5 linked regions of the Sus scrofa genome follow. Each later gene encodes a partner of the first gene's protein in a complex. Links are inferred from orthologs where the notes say so. Each region holds a gene or a part of one and is shown in the gene's direction. Other genes may lie near its edges. The genes, in order: TGFB1, ITGB8, TGFBR2, LRRC32 and NRROS.

The links.
Region 2: the proteins of TGFB1 (region 1) and ITGB8 are in contact, whole or in part, in a cryo-EM structure (PDB 7Y1T), measured with the Homo sapiens proteins. The link is inferred for Sus scrofa from reciprocal best matches to the Homo sapiens genes TGFB1 and ITGB8. Residues at the interface, in NP_000651.3 of Homo sapiens: His117, Thr241, Arg243, Arg244, Gly245, Asp246, Leu247, Thr249, Ile250, His251, Gly252, Met253; in NP_002205.1 of Homo sapiens: Ser156, Ala157, Ser158, His160, Asn161, Asp213, Tyr214, Asn215, Leu216, Gly248, Asn249, Ile250, Asp251, Thr252, Glu254, Gln286.
Region 3: the proteins of TGFB1 (region 1) and TGFBR2 are in contact, whole or in part, in a cryo-EM structure (PDB 9FKP), measured with the Homo sapiens proteins. The link is inferred for Sus scrofa from reciprocal best matches to the Homo sapiens genes TGFB1 and TGFBR2. Residues at the interface, in NP_000651.3 of Homo sapiens: Arg303, Lys309, Trp310, His312, Tyr368, Tyr369, Val370, Gly371, Arg372, Lys373; in NP_003233.4 of Homo sapiens: Phe47, Leu50, Phe53, Asp55, Ser72, Ile73, Thr74, Ser75, Ile76, Cys77, Glu78, Val100, Asp141, Glu142.
Region 4: the proteins of TGFB1 (region 1) and LRRC32 are in contact, whole or in part, in a cryo-EM structure (PDB 8VSC), measured with the Homo sapiens proteins. The link is inferred for Sus scrofa from reciprocal best matches to the Homo sapiens genes TGFB1 and LRRC32. Residues at the interface, in NP_000651.3 of Homo sapiens: Leu30, Ser31, Thr32, Cys33, Lys34, Pro325, Pro327, Tyr328, Ile329, Trp330, Ser331, Leu332, Thr334, Gln335, Tyr336, Val339, Leu342, His346, Ala353, Pro354; in NP_001122394.1 of Homo sapiens: Ser135, Tyr137, Glu158, Ser160, Thr162, Val184, Met186, Asp187, Ile188, Glu189, Asp190, Phe193, Leu202, Leu204, Arg206, Asn207, Ser208, Leu209, Thr210, Cys211, Ile212, Ser213, Asp214, Phe215, Ser216, Leu217, Leu223, Leu225, Cys227, Ser229.
Region 5: the proteins of TGFB1 (region 1) and NRROS are in contact, whole or in part, in a cryo-EM structure (PDB 7Y1R), measured with the Homo sapiens proteins. The link is inferred for Sus scrofa from reciprocal best matches to the Homo sapiens genes TGFB1 and NRROS. Residues at the interface, in NP_000651.3 of Homo sapiens: Leu30, Ser31, Thr32, Cys33, Thr35; in NP_940967.1 of Homo sapiens: Phe194, Glu195, Ile196, Glu197, Gly198, Gly199, Phe201, Leu210, Leu212, Pro218, Cys219, Ile220, Val221, Asp222, Phe223, Gly224, Leu225.

What each region holds. Positions count from the first base shown.
Region 1 is NC_010448.4:49,341,901-49,346,170, reverse strand, and holds part of TGFB1 (transforming growth factor beta-1), read left to right. Parts: intron 1-1,858; coding exon 1,859-2,019; intron 2,020-3,506; coding exon 3,507-3,624; intron 3,625-4,270. UniProt on the Homo sapiens protein: Transforming growth factor beta-1 proprotein: Precursor of the Latency-associated peptide (LAP) and Transforming growth factor beta-1 (TGF-beta-1) chains, which constitute the regulatory and active subunit of TGF-beta-1, respectively.
Region 2 is NC_010451.4:89,442,975-89,447,244, forward strand, and holds part of ITGB8 (integrin beta-8), read left to right. Parts: intron 1-1,999; coding exon 2,000-2,163; intron 2,164-2,257; coding exon 2,258-2,380; 3' UTR 2,381-4,270. UniProt on the Homo sapiens protein: Integrin alpha-V:beta-8 (ITGAV:ITGB8) is a receptor for fibronectin. It recognizes the sequence R-G-D in its ligands.
Region 3 is NC_010455.5:16,846,438-16,850,707, forward strand, and holds part of TGFBR2 (TGF-beta receptor type-2), read left to right. Parts: intron 1-1,561; coding exon 1,562-2,361; intron 2,362-4,014; coding exon 4,015-4,156; intron 4,157-4,270. UniProt on the Homo sapiens protein: Transmembrane serine/threonine kinase forming with the TGF-beta type I serine/threonine kinase receptor, TGFBR1, the non-promiscuous receptor for the TGF-beta cytokines TGFB1, TGFB2 and TGFB3.
Region 4 is NC_010451.4:10,812,878-10,817,738, reverse strand, and holds the start of LRRC32 (leucine-rich repeat-containing protein 32), read left to right. Parts: upstream 1-1,846; 5' UTR 1,847-2,334; intron 2,335-2,937; exon of another isoform or gene 2,938-3,026; intron 3,027-3,060; exon of another isoform or gene 3,061-3,228; intron 3,229-3,251; exon of another isoform or gene 3,252-4,861.
Region 5 is NC_010455.5:133,493,212-133,498,029, reverse strand, and holds the start of NRROS (negative regulator of reactive oxygen species), read left to right. Parts: upstream 1-1,811; 5' UTR 1,812-2,047; intron 2,048-4,818. UniProt on the Homo sapiens protein: Key regulator of transforming growth factor beta-1 (TGFB1) specifically required for microglia function in the nervous system.

The sequences.
Region 1 (4,270 bases):
TTTCTGCCTCGCCACCTCTTCTTTCTCTTTTTCTTCTCCATACCCCAATCTCCAGCTCTCCCCTCTGACCGTTCCTGGCCCTTCTATCTCTCTTCCTCCCTGTTTGTCTCCCCGCTTGTGCTCTACCCTCCCTTTGGGGTCTGCTGAGTAACCCCTGGGCCAAGATAGGGCTTATTTGGCGGGTGAGGGGGGGGTGACTGGCCTGGCTAGACAAGGACTAGTAGGGGAAGGAGGCCCCCAGAAGGGGCTTCCTCTGTCCTTTCTCATCAGATGTCTCCAGCATGTCCCCCACCCCCCATGCACAGGCGGAAAGCAACTTCCCCAGTTGACCAGGCCTTCATGGCTGGCCTCCTCATTCCCAGCCCCCAACTTTTTCTAGATTAGAAGACACTCTTCCTAATTTTCTCTGTTCCCTTTCCTCTGCCCTTGAAGCCATTCCTACCTAGAATGAACTTTGCCATCTCTATCCAGCTGAGGGAGGAAGCAATTATTAGTAATAACAATAACAAGAGTAAGGTCATATTAGCAGGGAGGCAGCATAGTCTAGGGGTTAACAGAGTCTCTGGAATCAGACTGCCTGAGTTGGAATCTCCATTCTGCAGTTTCCTAGCTGTGTGGTCTTGGGGCAAGTTGCTTCATCTCTTTGTGCCTCAGTTTCCTCACCTATAAAATGGGTATAATAACAGTATCTTCGTCATGGGGTTGTTGAACACACACATTGGTGTGACCACAGTATGCAGTCTCTTTGCGACATGCTTTATCTGCCATCATCTCACTTATTTCACACTGTCATCCTGCAGTCAGTCCTTGCCTTACAGGGGAGAATCTGGCACAGAGAGAGGAGACCAAAGGTACACAGTGCTTCAGTTAGGAGAGCCTGGGTTGAGAAGCAGAGAACTTGATGTCAAGTTGATCTTTCCTAAAGAATAGGAAACTGGAGTTCCCGTCGTGGCACAGTGGTTAACGAATCTGACTAGGAACCATGAGGTTGAGGTTCGGTCCCTGCCCTTGCTCAGTGGGTTAAGGATCCGGCGTTGCCGTGAGCTGTGGTGTAGGTTGCAGACGCGGCTCGGATCCTGCGTTGCTGTGGCTCTGGCGTAGGCCGGTGGCTACAGCTCCGATTCAACCCCTAGCCTGGGAACCTCCATATGCCGCGGGAACGGCCCAAGAAATAGCAACAACAACAACAACAAAAGACAAAAAAAAAAAAAAAAAAAATGAATAGGAAACTGAGGCGCCAAGAGGGAATGTGACTTGCTCAAAGTCACAGAAGGCAGTAGAGGCACACAGTCTGATCCAAATGCCCTCAATCCCTATGCAATGTAACTTGCATTTGGGGAGTTCAGTGGCTTGGCAGTTTAAGAAACTGACTAGTAGCCATGAAGATGCGGGTTTGACCCCTGGCCTTGCTCAGTGGATTAAGGATCTGGCATTGCCACGATCTGCGGCTCCCTCTGGCATTGCTGTGGCTGTGGCGTAGACCGGCAGCTGCAGCTCTGATTCAACCCCTAGCCCAGGAACTTCTGACCCTAAGAAAGAAAAAGAGAGAAAAAAAACCCATAACTTGCATTGGCGGCTGTAAGTGCTGGGGAGGCCTGAGTAAGCAGAGCAGCCCCCACCCCGGTGCCAGCCTCGTACTGAGGGCACACTTCCTGCATGGTGGGAGGGGAAGGTGGATGAGACCTCGATTAAAGAGGAAGAAACAAACCCAGAGAGAAGCCCGGTGCCCAAGGTCGCACAGCTAAAAAGCGTCTGGTGGGGGGGCTCCAACCCAGTTCTGTCAGCCCTTAGACTTGGGGTGTGCCAACCCTCCTGTGCCTGTTAAGCCCTAACATCCCCCCTCTCCGCTCCTGCCTAGAAATCTATGATAAATTCAAGGGCACCCCCCACAGCTTATATATGCTGTTCAACACGTCGGAGCTCCGGGAAGCGGTGCCGGAACCTGTATTGCTCTCTCGGGCAGAGCTGCGCCTGCTGAGGCTCAAGTTAAAAGTGGAGCAGCACGTGGAGCTATACCAGGTGGGGGTCTGGGCCCCAAAGGTGGCCTGGGCTGGGGCAGTGCTGTGGTGGCTGGAAGGCTGGTGGCTACCGAGATCCACACAGATGGACCCCGAAGGATGGGGTGGTGGGCACAGACACAGTGCTTTCCGACACCTATAGCCTTTGGACGATAAACATTTAGAAGGCCTGAATCTTAGGAGTTGGACTCGAAGAACTCAGGACTCCTGAAAGTTGCAATCTCTGGAAAGGTTGGAGACTCAAAATGCTCTGTCCCACACAGCAGCCACTAGCCACGTATGGCCATTTAAGTTGTTCAAATGAAATGAAAGAGGGAGTTCCTGTTGTGGCTCAGCCGTAACAAACCTGACTAGTATCCATGAGGTTGCAGGTTTGATCCCTGGCCTCGCTCAGTGGGTTAAGGATCTAGCATTGCCGTGAGCTGTGGTGTAGGTCGCAGACGTGGCTCAGATCTGGCGATGCTGTGGTTGTGGGGTAGGCCAGCAGCTGCAGCTCTGATTAGACCCCTAGCCTGGGAGCTTCCATATGCTGCGGGTGCAGCCAAAAAAAAAAAAAAATTAAACGAGAGAAAAAATTCAGTTCCTCAGTCTCACTGACCGTATTTCAAGTGGCCCATAGTCACATGGGGTTAGTGGCTGCTATTTTGGACACCACAGATAAAGAACATTTCCATCAACACAGAAAGTTCTTTGGATAGCTCTGTTCTAGAAGATTTAGAGTCTCCAGGAAGATTGGGTCCTCCAGAAGGACTGGATTCTCTTGAAGGTCATGTGAGCCAGAATCCCTATCAGGTAGAATGTTCTATTCCATAGCAGGTGGTAGACTCTTTTCACAAGGAACTTTTAGTGTTAACTTCTTGGAGTCTAGAGAACCTGGCTTCGTGCTGCCGACTTCCAGGGGTCATTCCACAGGGAGGGCAGGCATCTGCAACATCTAGGTTGGTGACACGTCAGACTCCTGGGTTTGTAGAACTTTAGTCTCATAGAATTTCTCAGGCTGATTGAACAGGTAATTCCGGGGTGCTCCCCGAGGGCTGGAGTTATGGAATGACTTCTAACATAAGCCCCCAGAAACCCCTATAGACTTTTGGTGTTCGGGTGGCCAAATTTCCAGAACTGTATAGTTAATAACCCTCACGATGTCTGGAAGGAGAATCATAGCCTCGTGGGCTGTCCAGGCTGAAAGGGGCCTGGCATTTCACCAGTGGGGAAACCGAGGCCAAAGCGGGAGAGGGGTTTTCCAGGGCCATGCCTGAGGTCCAGGGTGGAGGCTGAGCTGCCCATGTGCCTTGACCCCAGCCTGGGGCTCTCCCTCCCCTGCGGGCTGCTCTGGGCCTGGGCAGTTACTGGGGGGCCTCTGTGTGGATGTCTTCGAGGGGGCTGTTGGAGGGCCGGTTTGGGGAGCGGGTGGAGGGAGGGCTGCAGTGGACATGGGGGTGAGTGGCGGCATCTACCCACTGTTTCCTCCCCAAATTCATCATCCTCCAGAAATACAGCAATGATTCCTGGCGCTACCTCAGCAACCGGCTGCTGGCCCCCAGTGACTCACCGGAGTGGCTGTCCTTTGATGTCACCGGAGTTGTGCGGCAGTGGCTGACCCGCAGAGGTGAGGACCGCTTGTCTGCCCCACCCCTATTTTGTAATAGCCTTGAGCCCATTGTTTGTCCTGGGATTGCCCTGCCTAGTACCCCCCACCCCATGTTGGTGCCAAAGAGCCCGGGCCTGGCCCTCTTCCCCAGACACTCAAACCTGAGTGATGAATGGTTAATCCGTTTCCTGAGCACCTGCCCTGTGCTGAGTGATGCTGCGGACACTGCAGTGACCCAAACCGCCCCATCCTTGCCCTCGTGGTAGGGTGAGGGGATTTGGGGAAAAAACCTAAAAAAGCTCCCTGGTGGCCTAGCTGTTAAGGATTCAGTGTTGTTGCTGCTGTGGTTCACGTTCAGTCCCTGGCCTGGGAACTTCTGCATGCTGTGGGTACGGTCCCAAAAAGTGAAAAATAAAAACCAGGTAGTAATGTCCCAGAGTTGGACAGGATTGGGATGGGGAGCTCAGAGGAGGGCCTCTGAGCCAGACCAGGAGGTCAGGGAGGGCTTCCTGGAGGAGGGGACATTGAAGTGGGTGTCTGGGGTTTGAGTGACCCAGCCTGGGGAGGAAGGAGGGACAAGAGTGATCAAGGCAGGAGTTCCCATTGTGGCTCAGTGGTGACAAACCCATCTAGTATCCATGAGGATGTGGGTTCGATCCCTGGC
Region 2 (4,270 bases), on another chromosome or scaffold:
TTGTTTCCCTCTCCCCTCACAGTGACAGTAATCTTAGCTCACTGAATTTGGCTCTGAAAAGAGCCCTGCCAGCTGGGGCTGAAGCAATCACACCCGAAAGCCAAATGCCTTTGCTAATAAATAGAGCCCTATTGTCAACATGTCATTTATTAGGTTAAGTAAACAAACCTACTCTGACTTAAATATGGTTACAAAAAGTATTCCCTTAATGCTCCTTAGGAAAAGACCTTGCTTAACCTAAACTAAGAAAAGAGTCATGGCCAGAGCTAAATGTTTGGCCCTCCAAAGCTAAAAATTTAAGACTGCATACAGATTTGAACCCTGAAAATGTCCTCCAACCTAACTCATTAGAAATATTTGTAAAATGTATTACTAGCTAGGGAATCTCTCCTCCCCTTCACAACTGCTGTGCAAGGAGAGGGAACTGCATTTTTTTTTTTCTTTTTTTTTTAGCTACCTCTATTATCTACCCACTTGATCACACTTAAAGGGTATTCTTTTGATCTTTCTGGCTAAGGTTCTACTAGGCAAGAAGCCAATAAGTGAGATCAAGCCACATGCCCTCTTAGCTGATTAAGCAGTTACAAGTCACTGAAGGGAAATGAAAGGCGTGCATGTCATGAACCCAGGCACCACCAAGAACACCACCTTTGAATAGAGAGGGCATCTTGGATTCTCTCTGTAAGACTGCAACAAAGGGAGACTTGTACTTGTGTTTAGTGCTTCTATTCCCTTTAGCCTTTCCTTCAAGGAACCTTATCATTACAACCAAGAGAAAACTGGGCTCTAAGTCTTCCCACTTGGCGAAGAGCCCTTGTCCTTGTTACTGAGTTCTTGGCTTATTCAAGAACATGCTTGGTCCTCCCTCGGAATTCAAACAGAAATCACTCTTGATTGGGTGACTGCTCTTCTAAGCCTTAGTAGGTCCCTTCTCAAAAGACTTCCCAAGAAAACTTTTAGACATTTAGGTGAAGTCCTCAAAGTTTGGAGAATGGGCAGAAAACACACGCTTCTTTAGGCCAGAAGGTAATTTTATGAATGTGGAGCAGGTGGTGAATTTTGTGGAATACTTGTGCATTGCGCAACCAGGTTCCTCTTAGACTAGGGTAATACCTCTGGCAGCCACAGAGCCTGTAAACTTTCCAACTCAAGTTTGCCAAGGACGTAGGACTGAAACAGAGACCTAGCATGCCCCTCCTCTTAATGCAGCATTTCCTTTTCCAGCTAGTAATTATTTGTTCTTGAAAAAACATACAGTGGAATTTTTAAAAGCAAAATAGAATAGGTTTGGTCAACAGACAAGTGAAAACTAAATTGACAAACACTGAGGAAAGAGATTTCGGTTTTATTGTCCCAAACTGTACACCCCCACTTCCTGAAGAAGCTATGTGTAATAATAATGAAAACTTGCACTGCAGTTTCAAAGGAAACATTTATTCATCTATTAGAGTAGTAAAGATTTTAGCTTCTGCAGATGTTTATTTTCCATTACTGATGTGCAACAAATGAAGAGAAAGCCTAACAAGAGAAATATATGCTAATACACAGAGCTGTTAAACATTTTTTTAAATCCTATTTTCCACTTAGTGATCAAGTGGAAATGATCAGTAGTGATCAGTGTGTAGTGATCAGTATACACCACAAAAACCATCCCTCTCTCTGTCATAAATAAAATGATACTTAGTTAAAGGGATGTGGACATATCCCAGTTAATACAATTAAGGAAATCAAGCTGCAGAGAAATAATCTTATTGAATACCTTAACTGTGGCTATTGTCCAAAGGAGAGTTTTCTGTTGAAAATATTTTATTAATGAGTGTGTAATAAAGTTAGTTTACTTTTTGAATCAACAGTAATGGCAGTCCTCTTTTTGAAAACGTAGATTTGCACAATATCTATGATCCTATTAATAGAGACAATGAACATTATTTACTTGTTAGAATCCTTTGGTTTATTCATTCCAAATTTTTAACCCATTTATTTGTTTGCTTCTTTACAGAATGTTTCTCTAGCCCGAGCTATTTGAGAATATTTTTCATCATCTTCATAGTTACATTCTTGATTGGGTTGCTTAAAGTCCTTATCATTAGACAGGTTATACTACAATGGAATAGTAATAAAATTAAGTCCTCGGCAGATTACAGGGTATCAGCCTCAAAAAAGGTCAGTGAATTCTAAAAAAGGTTTACTATCAGTATGTTATTGTCTAGTTTTAATATTTAGGCTCTTAATTAATGAATATTTCTTCTCCCTCAAGGACAAGTCAATTCTACAAAGTGTTTGCACAAGAGCGGTCACCTACCGACGTGAGAAACCTGAAGAAATAAAAATGGATATTAGCAAATTAAATGCTCATGAAACTTTCAGGTGCAACTTTTAAAAAGATAAAAAAAATGTACTTTATGGGAAACTGGATTTTTAATAATTGCTCCTACAAATTTTTTGAGAAGTCACAGAGGAGACAAATTTTCCAGATCATGCCAGTTGCTAGTATTTCACTCGATTGAAGACTGACAAGCATCCTCATCATCATGTGACTCACACTGCTGCTGAATTTTTCAGAGAAAAATGTGTCTTACTACTGTTTGATACTAGTGTCATTGTAGCACTTTACTGTAATATATAACTTATTTAGATCAGCATAGAATGTAGATCATCTGAAGAGCACTGATTACACTTTACAGGTACCTGCCATTCCTACACTTCTCAGAGGGACAATGCTGTGAGATAGTTTTGGCATTGTGTCACTACAAGGGTACAGTAATCCCTGCACCAAATATGCAGATGGAAAAAATAATAAGGCAGTCATACTAATGTTGCCAAATACTTCAACAATTGGCAATGAATAAATAAGAACAGCTAGATGAATAAATGGTTAGTTTTTACTCATTCAAGAGGAACAGATAATACCTTAATCTTGAGGGATACTGCTTTTCAAAGTGTAGTTTTATGCATGTGTGTTTGTTTCCTTCTTTTTATAAGATGGATACTAATTCCAACGTTCTTTCCTCTTTGCCTTTATATTTTGGTTTTCTTTCTTATAAGATAGGTTTATATATGTCACAGATGACTGGATTAAATAAGTGCTAAGTTACTACTGCCATAAAAACCTAATAATACAATGTCACTTTATCAGAATACTGATTTTAAAAGCTGAATGTTCAATAAGGGAAACAGTCAACTAACATCAAAATCTGAATAATTTTGTTGCTTGCATGTGTGGAGTTTTACATCTTCTTACCTTGTAAACTGGATGGTTTTCATCATTTCCTGTATCTAAACATCAGGTTGAAATTCCCAAGATATTAAGAAACTCTGCCTAAAGCAAGTGCCACACTTTCAAATGTGTTTTCTCCAATATTTACTCAAAGTAGAGAATAGCATTTTTCAAATTAAAAGCAATATTAAGCTATATTATTTTTGCCCTTTGATGCAGTATAAAAACATTCTTTTCCTGAATCACCACAATTCCACCCACCAGAATTCTAAAAGTGTACAATTGGAGGCAGCTAGACAATATTTTAGAAATAAGCTAATTCACCCTGTCAGTCAGTCAGGGAATAGAGGCTCAGAAAGTTTAAATGATTTGTTAAAAACCCCCAAGTGACTAAGTGACAGGAAAGAGAACTATTTTCTTATCATCAGGCCAGTGTTCGACTACCTCTTGAATCTTTAAACTTTTCAATTGGCAAGTATTTTAAAATGTGATTTACTGAAGTTTTAAGTATATGGCCATGAGAAAATTTCAAGGCAAAGCAGAAAAAAGTAATTCAAAGAAAATTGTCCATGGTTGCTTCTAGTTTTTCTGCTAATTAGCTTCTAAGAGACTTCATCATGGCCTAACTAGAGGGAAGTCCATTCACACCATAATCTGTGTGAATGGCGCCCCCTGGAGTTGTGAAGTGCTCAGTGCTCAGCCTGAAAGCTTGATATAGAGGCCATGAACTTTCATCTTCCCCAATGGGAACTTCATTACAATTACCATATCCTGCAGACTTATTCAGCCTGATTTTATTGGCTAAAAGTCCAACAGTCCTGTGTGCAGTACGGATCTTTGCCTATGACAACAAAGGAATTTATTTAAAATGTTTTCTTAGAACTAACTTCCCAGATTTTCTGTCTTCCAGGACTTGAGTTAATCAAAGTGCCAGGTATTTGCATTTAGACAAAAACTAAATCCCACTGCATATTCTACACTAAAGAGGATTTAAAAACATATGATAAGTTGTTCTGGAGCCAACAAACACGGTAATTCCATCCACTGTCCCCT
Region 3 (4,270 bases), on another chromosome or scaffold:
TATGTGAGCATTTGGGAGGCAGGAGTCGTCATTCTTTCTATATTCCCAAAGCCTCGTGCAGTGTTTGGTGCTTAGTTAGCACTCAGTAAATGCTTTGTCCATTTCCTCAATGCCTGAATACTTGTAGGCACTGGTTATGGTCCTAGAGGAGAAATACATGGTCCCTGCCAGTGTGGTGCTCTCAGCCGGCCAGTGATGGGGAAGTAGGGAAAGAGATAGGAATCCAAAAAGTAGAGTTGTAGTTATTTAAATCAAATTGTGCTCACTCATTACATAGGAAAAGGTGGCGTGCTATGAAAATGTATAAAATGGAACATTTTCCCAGGTTTTCCTAGATTTCCTTTAGGGAATGACACTTAGGCTGAGTTTGTGGTTTTTTGTTTTTTGTTTGCTTTTTGGAGCAGAGGAAGGACTGTGCAAGGAAAATGGGTGGCTCATGCCCCCCAAAACCACAAACTTCTGGAGGGTTTTCAGCAAAGTGTTTTTATTGAGGTATAATAGATTTACAATGTTGTGTTAATTTCCGCTTTACAGGAATGTGACTCAGTTATACTAAGTTTATGCAATGTGACTCAGTTATATATATATATATATATATATATATATATTCTTTTTCATATTCTTTTCCATTATAGTTTATCAGAGGATATTGGATATAGTTCTCTGTACTACATAGTAGAACCTTGTTGCTTATCCAGTCTGTATGTAATACTTTGCATCTGCTAATCCCAAACTCCCACTCCTTTCCTCCCACACTGCCTTCCCTCTTGGCAACCACAAGCCTGTTCTCAATGTCAGACTGTTTCTGTTTCATAAATAGGTTCATTTGTATCATATATATATATATATATATATATATTTTTTTTTTTTTAGGGCCGCACCCCCAGCACATGGAAGTTCCCAGGCTGGGTGTCCAATTGGAGCTATAGCTGTCAGCCTCATATTTTAGATTCCATAACTGATATCATACGATATTTTGCTTTCTGACTTCTTCACTTAGTTTGATAATCTCTAGGTCGATCCATGTTGTTGTAGACAGCATTATTTCATTCTTCTTTATGGGTGATAAATAATCCATTATATATATAATATATAATAATGTAATACTATTATAATAATATAACATATATATACTACATAATTATATAGATTATATATATACACACCCACACGTATATATCTCCCACATCTTCTTTATCCATTCCTCTGCTGGTGGTCATCCAGTTTGTTCCCATGTCCTGGCAATTATGAGCAGTGCCAGCAAAGCATTTTTAAAGGTCAGGTGAGGGAAGGAGGTCCCACGGTATGTGACCTGCTCATGCACAATTCTCTGGTTGATGTTGGGTTTTGAGGGAAGAGTAAGAGGCATTGACTAGATGACACAGAGGCAGAGGAGACTGGACAAGGGCACTCTAGCATCCATCCTAGGAATACAAGTTACCATATGTTATCCATAAAAGCTATGCAGATGGTAAAACCTATGCTGCCCAAGGTGTGGACCCACTTCCCTCCACTGTGCACCCACTGAACCAACTCCTTCTCTCCTGTGTTTCCACTGCAGAGTATGCCACCAACAACCCCGACTTGCTGTTAGTCATCTTCCAAGTGACAGGTGTCAGCCTCCTGCCACCACTAGGCATCGCCATCGCCGTCATCATCACCTTCTACTGCTACCGTGTCCACCGGCAGCAGAAGCTGAGCCCATCCTGGGACTCAGGGAAGCCGCGGAAGCTGATGGAGTTCAGTGAGCACCTGGCCATCATCCTGGAGGATGACCGCTCCGACATCAGCTCCACCTGTGCCAACAACATCAACCACAACACGGAACTGCTGCCCATCGAGCTGGACACCCTGGTGGGCAAAGGGCGCTTTGCCGAGGTCTATAAGGCCAAGCTGAGGCAGAACACATCTGAGCAGTTCGAGACCGTGGCTGTCAAGATCTTCCCCTATGAGGAGTATGCCTCCTGGAAGACAGAGAAGGACATCTTCTCGGACATCAACCTCAAGCACGAGAACATCCTGCAGTTCCTGACAGCTGAGGAACGCAAGACAGAGCTGGGCAAGCAGTACTGGCTGATCACTGCCTTCCACGCCAAGGGCAACCTGCAGGAGTATCTGACGCGCCACGTCATCAGCTGGGAGGACCTCCGCAGGCTGGGCGGCTCGCTGGCCCGTGGCATTGCACACCTGCACAGCGACCACACCCTGTGCGGCCGGCCCAAGATGCCCATCGTGCACAGGGACCTCAAGAGCTCCAACATCCTGGTCAAAGGTGACCTCACCTGCTGCCTCTGTGACTTCGGCCTCTCCCTGCGGCTGGACCCCACTCTGTCAGTGGATGACTTGGCCAACAGTGGGCAGGTAGGGTGGCTCAGTTCCCTCCCCTTGGTCCTTCCCCCCCCCGCCCCCGCTATCTCCATCAGCCCTGAGCTCAGACACTTGTCCAGGGATCCAGCCAAGCGAGCAGTTAACCCTGGCCATGTCCCATGCTCCTGCCAGGGAGCCTTTGTCGACCAACAGCTTTTCTCTTCCTGTTCCTAGATCCTTCCCAGTTCAGGATGGGCTTTTTCTCCTTGAGTCAATCCTCATGTCTCTCCCATTTGGACATTTTTTTTTTTTTTTGCTTCCAACCCTGCTAGTACTGTATCTTTATCTGTTTTTTTCTCCGGTCTTAGGATTGTACTCAGCCCTTTCTGCTCTGTACTCTTGGTCCTTATATGGGTTTCTTTTTTATCATTCTAGAAGGCAGTTTCCTTGAAGTCCAAATCCATATCCATTTGGTCCCACCCAGCACAATGCCTTGAACAGGGAAAGTGATCAATGAGTATTTGTGGAGTGAGTGAGGGGTGAAGGAACAGTTCCCCTTTTGAAACATCTCAAATTAAAACCAAAACCTTTCTGGCTAAGGAGCTATTAGGAACAGACGAAAATTACCATCATCCTTTATGAAAGTTGGCCCTGTGTTTCACATGCCGGACCAGCTGTGGATTAGAGTGGTGTCTTGCGAGCATATTGCCCTTCTAGCCAAGTGGAGAGATGTGCTTTTGAAACCTCTAGGCTCTGCTCAGGCAGCCCTCAGGGTCCATGACTGCACATTCAGTATTGACGTAAACATGTTGAAACAGATTAACTGGCCACAGGGTAAGGAGTCATGCAATGACTGATTAAAAGAATTTTTTTTTCTAATGCATTGCAATAAAAAACATTATTTGGGATACTATTATCAACTGATAGATATTCCCTGGATCTTTGGCAAGGCAGGGCTTCATTGCTATTTAGTCAGTCTGTACATGCTGCATTATGAAACATTCAAGTAATTTTTTTTTTCCCCTAGAAATATGTTTTTTTCTTTTTTCCTATGTATTGCAGAATTTTCAGAATATCAGTCATCATTCAAATAAAACGACATGGCATACCCATGACATACCCATCAAAATTATAAAATGATCCACGTTTGGACTTTTAATGGAAATACTTTCATACAATTCAATTTAGCAGAGATTTTATGAAATTATACGACATCCTGGGGACATCAGAATATGCCATGGGGTACACAAAGAAGATTGAACTCAAGTGGCAAAAAATTAATGGCAGTTATTATTTTCACCATCTACCTTGAAGCTTCAAGAATGAAAATGTATTTAATTTACAAAAACAAAAGTAAATATCAAAAGTATCACCATCGTCATCTCAGGTTCTCTGCAGGGATGTTATTATATACATAATAGGATGACATGTGTCAGGGGGCTAGACAAAGCAGCTCTGGGGATTGGTATTTCCTTATTTTGGCATTTTTTTTCTTGATATTCTTTAACAGGTTTTCAGGGAGAGAACACCTACTTTAAAAAAAATACTTACAAAAACTGTGCTTTTCTGTGCAGGTCTCATTATTTGTAAAAGCACTGTGCTTTTAAAGACCAACTACCCAAGTAGGGGACAAACAGCAGCTATATGTTGAAAAGAGACATGCAGTTGGCATGCAGTGATGGGCTTCAATGTCTGCTTTTGCTTTAGGTGGGAACTGCAAGATACATGGCTCCTGAAGTCCTAGAGTCCAGGATGAATTTGGAGAATGTTGAGTCCTTCAAGCAGACGGATGTCTACTCCATGGCTCTGGTGCTCTGGGAGATGACGTCTCGCTGCAACGCGGTGGGAGGTAGGCATGGACCACCGCCATGGCACCCTGGTACCTGACACGCCCTCCAAAATGATGTCATGCCCTTTGCTTCAGCACAATTCCAGGGAGACAAAAGAGTTAATCTGCAGTGAG
Region 4 (4,861 bases), on another chromosome or scaffold:
AGCAAGCTGGGAAGCAGGTACTATTATGAGTTTCACGTTGCAGATCTGCAAACCGAGGTCAGAAAGATCAAGCAACCTGCTGAAAGTCACACAGCAACCTGACTGCTGAAGAAGCGAAGAGATGAAGGAAGGGGCGCTGAGCACGTGGGGTTCCCGCTTTCAGCCCCCAGTCCCAAGAGGCATCTGCAGCGGGTAGGTACGCTTGGTTGCCCATCTGTCTCCAACTCTTGGGGTGCCCCATCCAGGCACTGAGTGAGGTGGACCTCTGTGAACTGACTAACCACAACCACAGGCTGGGGGGGGCGGTGCGGGGAGGCGGTTGCTCCCCCAACCCCCAGCCCGCCAGAGCCCCTGCCCCGCCCTACCCCAGCCAAAGCTCTGCACCAGCCCAGCGGTTTCTGCTTGGCAGCAGCTCAGAAGAGAGTGAGGTGGCGCTGATGGGCTGGGGGGCAGGGGGTGGGTTGGTCCCGAGAGGCCGGGAATTGTCGACTCCAACTCAGCCATGCTCTGCCCGCGCTGCAGGACTACCACGAAGTGCTTCCCTTGGACAAGGATCTGGAAAAGGAAGCCTCCAGGGTGTGGCAGAGGAATCTCGCTGCAATAAAGACAGCGAGAGGTCCGTTATTCTTAGTTCTGGGACTATTCTTAGTACCAGGGAAGAAGCTACCATCTTACCCACTTTACAGATGGGGAAACTGAGGTTTCCTTTGACCAGATGAGCACTAAAGCCCAGAGAGAGGGTTGCAAAGGCCAGAGGGGCCCTCCCTCAGCCTAGATCTGAAGTTCTAGATCTAGAACCTGTGGGTTGGGGGGGTGCACCCTTCCCAGGTCCTGCAACCTTTCCTACCCTGGCCCTCATTGCAGCTCAGGCCCCTCCCAGCTATCACAGATGCCCTGCTCTGGGCTGTGCCCATCTTCCCAGGCTTGTCCTCCACATTAAGCCAGATTGGGGCGGGGGGCGACAACGAAAGGCAGCTGCCATCTAGAGTTCAGGGACCTCAGTTTCTAAGTCCAGCTTCACCCCGATTTACCACAAGGCTTTGGGTGGCCAACTTCCCAACTGTAAAGTGGGGCACCTGTGCCACCCTCAGGGCTGTGACCATCAGGGAAGCGAGACATCGAGGAAGACAATTTCTCTTCTGCCCTCGGAACTAGGTCTGGAGGACTGGAGGACAGCTGTGCCCCTCCGCCCCTAGGCACCCCTACCAGGGGGCCCCACCCAGCAGGGCACGGTAGCTAGATTTGGTAGGGCCATGGCCTGTAGGAGAGGGGGTGGCTTTGGGGAAGATGACCCTCAGCTTCTGGTGTAAAAGAATGATGCCACCGGGGCTGCTTTTGCACAGCGCTCTGAGCCAACCTGAGAAAGATGGTGCCTGGAAAAGGGCCCCCACTTTGGCCTGGCCTTAGCTTTGGGGACAGACTGGGTTGAAATCCCTGTCTCTTAGAATCCGTGTGACTTCGCATAAGCCATTTAACCTCGCTGGACTCAGTTTCCCCAGACCCTGGCACTGGTTTTTATTTATCCTCGCCATGCCCCTCCCTGGCCTGTTTCTCCATCTGGATTCTGGGGACTTTGGTGACACCTTTTCACAGAACCGGGAGACGGGGAGGAGGAGGACGGGTCTAGGCCCTAGAGCACCATCCAGAGAGGAGAAGTGACGGGCCTGGATCTCCCGGGGCGGGGTGGGGTGGGGTGGCTGCGGTGTGGGGAACCCCCTCTGCGGCCACCCCAGGGCCAGTGAAAGGTCATTTCCTTCCGCCTTCGGCGCTGCCGGCACCTCTCCTGTGTGCTCCCCCCTCAGTGCGGCGGCGCCTACCGGGCCGGGGGAAATCGGGGCCAGGGCGGATTTCCTCTGCGGACCTGCGGCTCCCAGAGCCACCCGCCCCCCGGACCCCGCGGGGCCCCGACCTGCACGTGCGGTGGTGGCCGGGCTCGGCCTCTCTCGGTCTGCGCTTCCTCAGCGACCCCTCTCCCTCCCCGCCCTCGGATCCCGCCCCCTCCCCGGCCGGGTTTCAGCTTCTGGAAAATGCTTCTCCCGCTGGCGGGGTCCGGATAAACCGAGTCACGGGGGCGCGCCGGGCGGGCGCTAGGACCCCGCGGCTGGCCCGAGGGGGGGCGTGGTGGGGCGGGTCGGCGGGAGAGCTATTTAAATTGGAGCCCGAGCCGCCCCCTCGCGGGTCGGGCTCCCGTGGGGCGGTGGACTGGCTGTGCACCTCCTCGGGCCGTGACCCCGGGGTCTGGCGCGGGGTGGAGCCGGGGGGCGGGGGGCGGGCGGGTTCGCGCAAAATGTGCCGGGGCTGCCCGGGAGAGGAGCGGCGGCCGCGCTGAGCCAGGTAGGAGCCGCCCGGCGGGCGAGGCTGGCCCTCGGGGAACCCGCGGTCCCGCGCCCCTCAGGAGCCCAGGGCGCGGAGCAGAGCTGGGGCAAGTCCACCCAGACGCTGATCCCCAACAGGCCCCTCCTATCGCGGTCCCCTGCGTCGCGCGTGGAGCCAGGGTTGAACCTCCCTCGGCCCCTGACGTCTCCGAGGCTCCTAGCTCAGCAGATCTGTCCCGCGAAGGACGACGAGGCTGGCGGTCCCATTTGACAGATGGGAAAACAACTGCAGAAAGGCCGGCCCTTGCCCAGGGAACACACGGCGAGTCCGGGGAGGTTCAGGGTTCGCATCCCGGCCTCGGCCCACCCTCTGACCCTGGCCGGACGTGGTCTTCCCATTCCACCGCACCAGATAGCCTGCCTGTCTCTGGGATGTGGGGGGCGGTGGGGGGGGCGGGGCACCCACCTCTCTCCAAGGGGCTCCGCAGCCAGCCGTCTTCCTGGGTGGTAGGATGTGAGGGACCCCCGCCCCCACCCTCAGCTGCCTGAAATTCCGCCATCACAGCCACATTCCTTTGGGTTAAGGTCTAATTCCCCCGTGGGTTGCACATGTCTCCAGAATGGGCCTTGCCCTTAGTGATTCACTGCCTGGTGGGACCGGCAGCAGCAGCTCTCCCAGGACCCCACTCTGCCGGTGATCGGAGCTGAGAGGTGGGAGAGGCGTGTCCCAGAGCCCAGCCCCGTGAGCCTGTGTGTGTGTGTGTGTGTGTGTGTGTGTGTGTTGAGGTTAGAGGATCATTAGAGGGGGTTGGGGAGTGAGATCTGGGCCTGGTGTTGTGGAACCATTTGCTCTGGAGGCAGACAGACTGGATTCTACTCCCGATTCTGCCATTTCCTGCCTGTGTGACTTTGGGTAAGTCACCTCTCCGAGCCTGGTTTTCCTCATGGGCAGATACTGTTGGGGCAGGCAGCTCAGCCTGGGCTGGAGAAAACACAGCCTTGGGGCCATGTAGGCCTGGGCTGAATCCCATCAGGCTTATGAGCTGGGTAACTGTGGGGTAAGTCACTTCGCCTTCCTGAGCCTCAGTGTTCTCATCTGTAAAATGGAAATTGTAGTAACTACTTCATTGGAGTTGTGAGAGTGAAATGAAATGATACGGGTCACGTGCTTAGAGGAGTGTCTAACGTCCTTAAACAGTAGGAGTGGGCTTAGTGTGGTATTAGGCATCGCCCCCACCCCATTTCTCCCCCTCGTGTCTCTCTCTCTCTCTCTCTCTCTTGAAGTTCAGGCTTCTAGGATGTCCCCTGCCTCCTCTCTTCTGGGCCACTTGTCTTCAGGCTTGGGGTCTCCCCTTCAGCCTTTCTCTCCTTGTCTGGGCGGCTCAGCCCAAGGGTTTGTCCCCGCTGGGAGACACAATATATGTCCAGGGCATGTTCACAGCCATTCTCGGCTTGATTATCACAACCATTGGCAGCAAAAGGTGGCAAAACAGGAACCAGGCTCCTTGCCCTGCAGATGGGACACTGAGGCACTGAAACGTGAAGGGACTTGGCCCAGGGAGCAGGGCTGGTGAGCAGTAGAGGCTGGATGGGAGCCTGGGTCTCAGGGACCCCAGTCCTCCCTCTGAGCCTTCAGATTCTAGGCACTGTGTCTTGGGTGCTGATGAAGGGTGCCCGCAGCCACGGGCCTTCTCTCTCTGTCAGATGGCAGGGCGGAGTTCCACCTGCTGCAGGGAGGGTCCCTCCTGGATGCTCAGATGCCCGCCTTGGGGCTAGGGTGGAATTAGGCAGAGGAGGGGAAAAGGAGGGCCCCTTTGGGCAGCGATGCCCTCAAGTTCCGAACTGCTCCAGGTCCTTCCTTGTTCGTTTCTTGCACTTTGCACTTCCCACTCCGCCCTTTGCCGTGCACACCTAACCCTGGCTTTGCTAATTGTCCCATAGATCTTTAGTGAGCCCCGCCTCCCAGACCCCTGATCTCATAGAATAAGAAGTAAGTGGAAATGATCCACGCGAGGAAAACAGTGAGCCGTGTGCAGATCTGGGAAGCGCCTTCCAGGTGGAGGCAGCAGCAAGGGCAAAGGCCCTGAGGCAGGAATGCACTTGCTGGGTTTGAGGAATGGCGTGAAAGCCAGAAGTGGGTGAGAGAAGGGCAGAGGGTAGACGGGAGAGAGGAGACTGTGGAGAGCCTGGATTTTGTGGGAGGTTTTCAAGCAGTGAGCTTCGTGATCTGAGACATGACTTAAGGCATCGCTCCAGCTGCTTTGGGTGGGACAGACTGAAAGAGGTCGGGCTGGAAACAGGGTGCTGCTGGGGTCAAGGCCCAGGGTCCTGGAGATGCTCAGTCTGCGGCAGTGATGGGGGAGGGAGGCAGAGCCGCGGAATACTTTTTAAGGAGAGCAGACAGAGCCGGGAAGGAGTGTGACAGGAAGGGGACCTCAGAACAACCATTCTCGCCAGGTCGCCGTGTCACCCCAGTGATGCCTTGTGTCACTTCTCATACCTTCCCCAGCCTGCCCACTGGAGGGAGCGTGTGAGATGGGTCCCAG
Region 5 (4,818 bases), on another chromosome or scaffold:
ATCCTGAGCAATGCCGTCAGGGTTACAAGCTGCCATGAAAAACCTTCTGTTTCCAGCTGCAAATCAGCATTGGTTTCGACTGGGAGTCTCAGGTCCTCCCTGCTGAGCCAGCTTGCTACTAGCCTAGAAGGAGAACTATTGGTGTTGTCTGCCAACCAACTGGCTTGTCTCCACACATCCTCGGGATCATTGGTTTTCTAAGTTCTTCTGAGAGGTGGCAGCTGCCTTTCTCAAAAGAAATTCTGTAGAGAACCTCAATGTATAAAATATTTAAAAGTGGAATTGCTGGGGATAAGGAGGGGAGGAAAATTCCAGAGTCCCACAAGACAGTCCTTAGGCGCCCTGAATCTGCTGGTTTTAAAAACTGCTGATCCAGGTAAGAGGCAGTGACAAGTCATGAAAGGGCTGTGAGTAGGGAGTGAGATGATTCAAAATACATTTTAGAAAGATGCCCAGGGCCACTAGGTGGTGCCTACTTTGGAGGCAGGGATCCAATCCCAGTTGAAGGAGGCTATGGAAATGATCCAGACATGAGTTGATAAGGTCTAGATCCAGGACAGTAGCAGCAGGATGAAGAGAAGGTTTAAAATCGGCTGGGATGGATAACCAATTGCATACGAGGGCTGGAGTCTCCAAGGGCTGGACTGCTGGGATGGAGGCATGCCATAAATAGTGACAGTCAAATAGGCTAAAGGATGAGTTCAGTTTGGGACACATTGCGTTTCTGCTACGCTGGGACATTAACCAGGACAATTAAAAATATAAGACTCGATTGTCTCTCTTGGGAGAGAATGTTGGAGCTAGAAATGACAATTTGGGAATAATGAACATACTGGTAGACACAAAAGACATGGAAGTAGAAAATGTGCACGCCAGGAGAACAAGGACGAAAAGACAACCTTGGTTTGTGACAATCTATTAGTTTTGTCATTGGTGTTATCATTATTACCATTATGAATGAATATTTTAGGGAGCAGAGGCAACTTACTGGATGTTTGGGGCATGTCCTTCCACTTGCTCCTGTTCTCTTAGGATTGACATGAGGGCAATAATAATGCAATACAGAATCACAGATCCCCAGGCTACAAGAGATGCGAGCCAGCCCTCCAGGACACTTCAGCTCTCCAGATCTGATGGGACAGAGCAGAACTGGAGATCCTGGCTCTGACTCCCCAGTGCTTGTTTGCATTACTCATTCTGCATTCGGCCAACACGGCAAATCTTTTGCTCCTCTACTAGATGGTAAGTTTTCGGAGAACAGGAGCTGTAAGAAAATGCATAAGGAGCTCTTAGCATAGGGCCTGGCACCCCTTTGATGGTGGCTATTATGAATTCAATTATTATTTTGAATTCTTGGCAAGAGCTAGCAGGGAATTTTGTGCACATCAGGTACCCAAAAATTCATCCTTGCTGCCTATGATCAAGACGTTCATGGCACCCTGACAGTCCAGCACAGAGCAATTTCCATTTCTTCTTCTTTTTATAATGGGCTGGAGTCCAATAAAGACTGGCTGGATGACTCTCTGCCAATTGGGAACCTTGTATCCTACCCATTCTCATAATCTGCTCCAGTTTGACCCTTGGGTATAACCTTGAAAAAGAGTTTCTGGGTCAGCAAAGCTCATAGGCAAAGGCCCCCCAGCTCTGCAAGAAAGTCCGGGGAGCCTTGGTTAGCACTGCTGGGAGACCATGAAAATATCTGACCCCTTTCGCAACCAATCCAGCAGGTAGTCCCGAGGCCACTGCCTCCCGCGCGCCCGCCCCCTCCCATCCCCCTCGCCACCCACCCGCGGCGGCAGTTCCCTCTGAGATGCCTGCTCTCGGTGAGTGCTGAGTCGCTGAGCAGCTTGTTCTCCATGTGACTTCAGTTTCCGTCAGTTCCTTCCGCAAGTGCGAAAATAATCTGATGCCCCAGAGAGAGCAGGCAGCCCAGCCCCGCGTTCGGCTGCTCTCGAGGAGGAGGAGGAGGAGGAGGAGGAGGAGGAGGAGGAGGCGGGAGCCCCGGGAGAGGATGCGCCCCGCGGAGCCGCCTGGGCCTGCGGGAGCCGTGAGTATTTCCCGCAGGGCAGCCTCGTGGTCCGGCGGCCGCGGCCCCTCCGGAGGCGGGCGGCTCAGGCGAGGTGGGGAGGCGGGAGGTCAGCACCCGTGGCCCACAGCTCGGGGCTGACGGGGAAGTTGTGGGTTGCTGCATCCAAGCTCCAGCAATTCTGTGCTTGGTTTGAGAGCTCCAGCTCTGGGTGGAGGTGCTAATACCTTCCTCTAGGAGACTTAGAGCTGAAAACGGTGGCGTGGTGTAGCAGAAACACGGAGGGCTTCAGAGTCAGACCTGGGTTTGATCCCTGTGGCTGGTGGGGAGTATGCCTGAGCCTCAGTCTCTTTATCTGTGAAATGGGAACAGTGATGTCCTTGGATGTAGTGAGGCTACGCTGTGAACTTTCAGCCTGTCTCTCCTGCCCCACAACGTGGATCCCACAACCACAGTTTCATAGATGAAGACCCTGAGACACCACCACCAACATGTATTTATGGATATCTTCCATGTGTAGGCGAGTCAGAGTTCAAGGTGTTGGGTGGGAGTAGAGCTGTGAAACAGACAGGCAAAGCCCCCTCCCCACAGGGCGTGTGTCCTTGAGAGGTTCCCTAGGGTTCTGCTGCTTGAATCCCACAGCCTGGAGACTAGACTCCAGGCTTCTCTGACCCCCTTGACCAGCGCTTTTCTGCAGCCCCTCCCAGCGTCTCCAGGTGGGCTGGATTCCGCATATATTCCTCCTGCACCCAGGAGCTGACAGAAGTAAGGAGGCACCCGAGCAGGCTGTGTGCTGCACTCAGGATGCGCTGCCAGGTCACTGCCCGCTGAGGGGGGTGGCCACGTGCCCAACTGTGGCGGGAACTCCAGGAGGCTGAGCCGGGTACTAGGAATGGAGCCCCTGGCTAGGGCTGGCCTGGGGTGGTGCACTTCCAGCGGGAGTGAAGGGATTCCCCTGGAGGTTTCTTTCATGCTGGGTGCAGCCTATTAGGAGTCTGGGCGGTAGAATCATTCAGAGTTTAAAGAGCCAGCCTTCCAAGATCTGTGCCCCCTTCACCTATTACTGGCTGTGCTGTACACACCTTTCTGTGGATGTTGATGGTTTACTTGGCTTTATAGTCCTGAGACTTACTTATTTTCCTCACACACCCCATAGGTGTGTACATGTATGTTTGGGAGTTCCTAGAGGGGGTTATAGAAGCATGGGCCCCGGGGTTGGGGGAGGACCTTGACTCTTTAGGTTAAACGAAAACCAAAACCTGCTTCACAAAAAGGTGTTTTCATCTAATGGGTGCTCTCGTGGGAACTTCATGAAAACCCTGATCCCACAGAGTCCTTAAACTCTGCACCCAAGAGCAGGAGCCTTCTTCCAAACAGCCAGCTCCTGGTGTCTTTGTCCTGGGGGCTCATGTTAGGAGTGCATTGACCTGGCTGTCTCTAGTCTTTTGAGTCTTTCAAAGAGTGCTGCTGGTACCGATCATAACCTGTGTTCTGGCTGCAGTGTGCATCCATATCACAAAAGGTGAGCTAGACTCTTGGATGGAGCTGTAGATGTACCTCACATCATGCTGAGATTCACACTGTAACCACATCCATTAGAGGAGGGTGGACTTTCACCCATGACTGGAAAAACTTATCATTCTTAGGACACGCTTGTGTGTTCAGATATGCTCACTGATGTATCTACACATTGGTGACAAGTAATTTTCTTTATTATGCTCATTCCTCCCCCCACCAAACTATTCTTCTCAGTCTCATCATCAAACAGATGTCATGTGTTCAATATGTAGTGGTTTCTGAGGTAGGTTAGATGATGATCTCTGAAAGCTCAGAGAGGTGAGAAGGAGGGGAAAGGACATTGATATTTAGATCTTATCAAGCCTCACAAGCAACTATCAACTTGAGTTTAAGGGTCTTTTAATTGCAAATCACAAAAACCCAACTCAGCTTGGTTTCAGTGGAAGGGGGAAAATAAAGAGGATTTATTCTTTCAAATAACCAAAAAGTCAGTGGGAAATAGCTTCAGGCATGGCTGGATCTGGGTGCTCAAACATTACCTGGAATCCATCCATCTCCATTTCATAATTTTGCTTTCCTTTATGTAGGCTTCATTATCAGGCAGATCCTAAAGTTGTTGGCAAAGCTGGCTGCTGGAAACTCTAAGCTTAATTCCCATCAGTTTGGCATCTGAAGCAGGAAGAGAAAGGCTCTTTTCTAATAGCTCTAACAAAAATCCTTAGATTGATACTCATGGGCGTGGCATCTGTGATGTACCCATTATAAAGCAAGCACTGTGGTTAAGGAATTAGGAGGCTCTGATGAGCCCAGCTGTATTCATTAGCCTCCTCTTGGATCCATGGACTCTTTAAGAAAGGAAGGGGGTTGTTTGCACAACAATATAAATGTACTTAACACTAATCATTTCTATACTCAAACTTGGTTAAGGTGGTAAATTTTACATTAGTGTATTTTACCACAAATACAAATTTTTTTAAAAAACAAGAGGCGTTTCCATTGTGGCTCAGTGGAAAAGAACCTGACTAGCACCCATGAGGATGCGGGGTCAATCCCTGGCCTCGCTCAGTGGGTCAAGGATCTGGCATTGCCATGAGCCATGGTGTAGGTCGCAGACGCTGCTCAGATCTGGCGTTACTGTGGTTGTGGCTGTGGCGTAGGCTGGCACCTTCAGCTCCAATTCGAGCCCTAGCCTGGGAATTTCCATATGCCGCAGATGCAGCCCTAAAAAATAAAATAAAATAAAAGGAAGAAAGAAAAGAAAGGAAGGGGTGGTT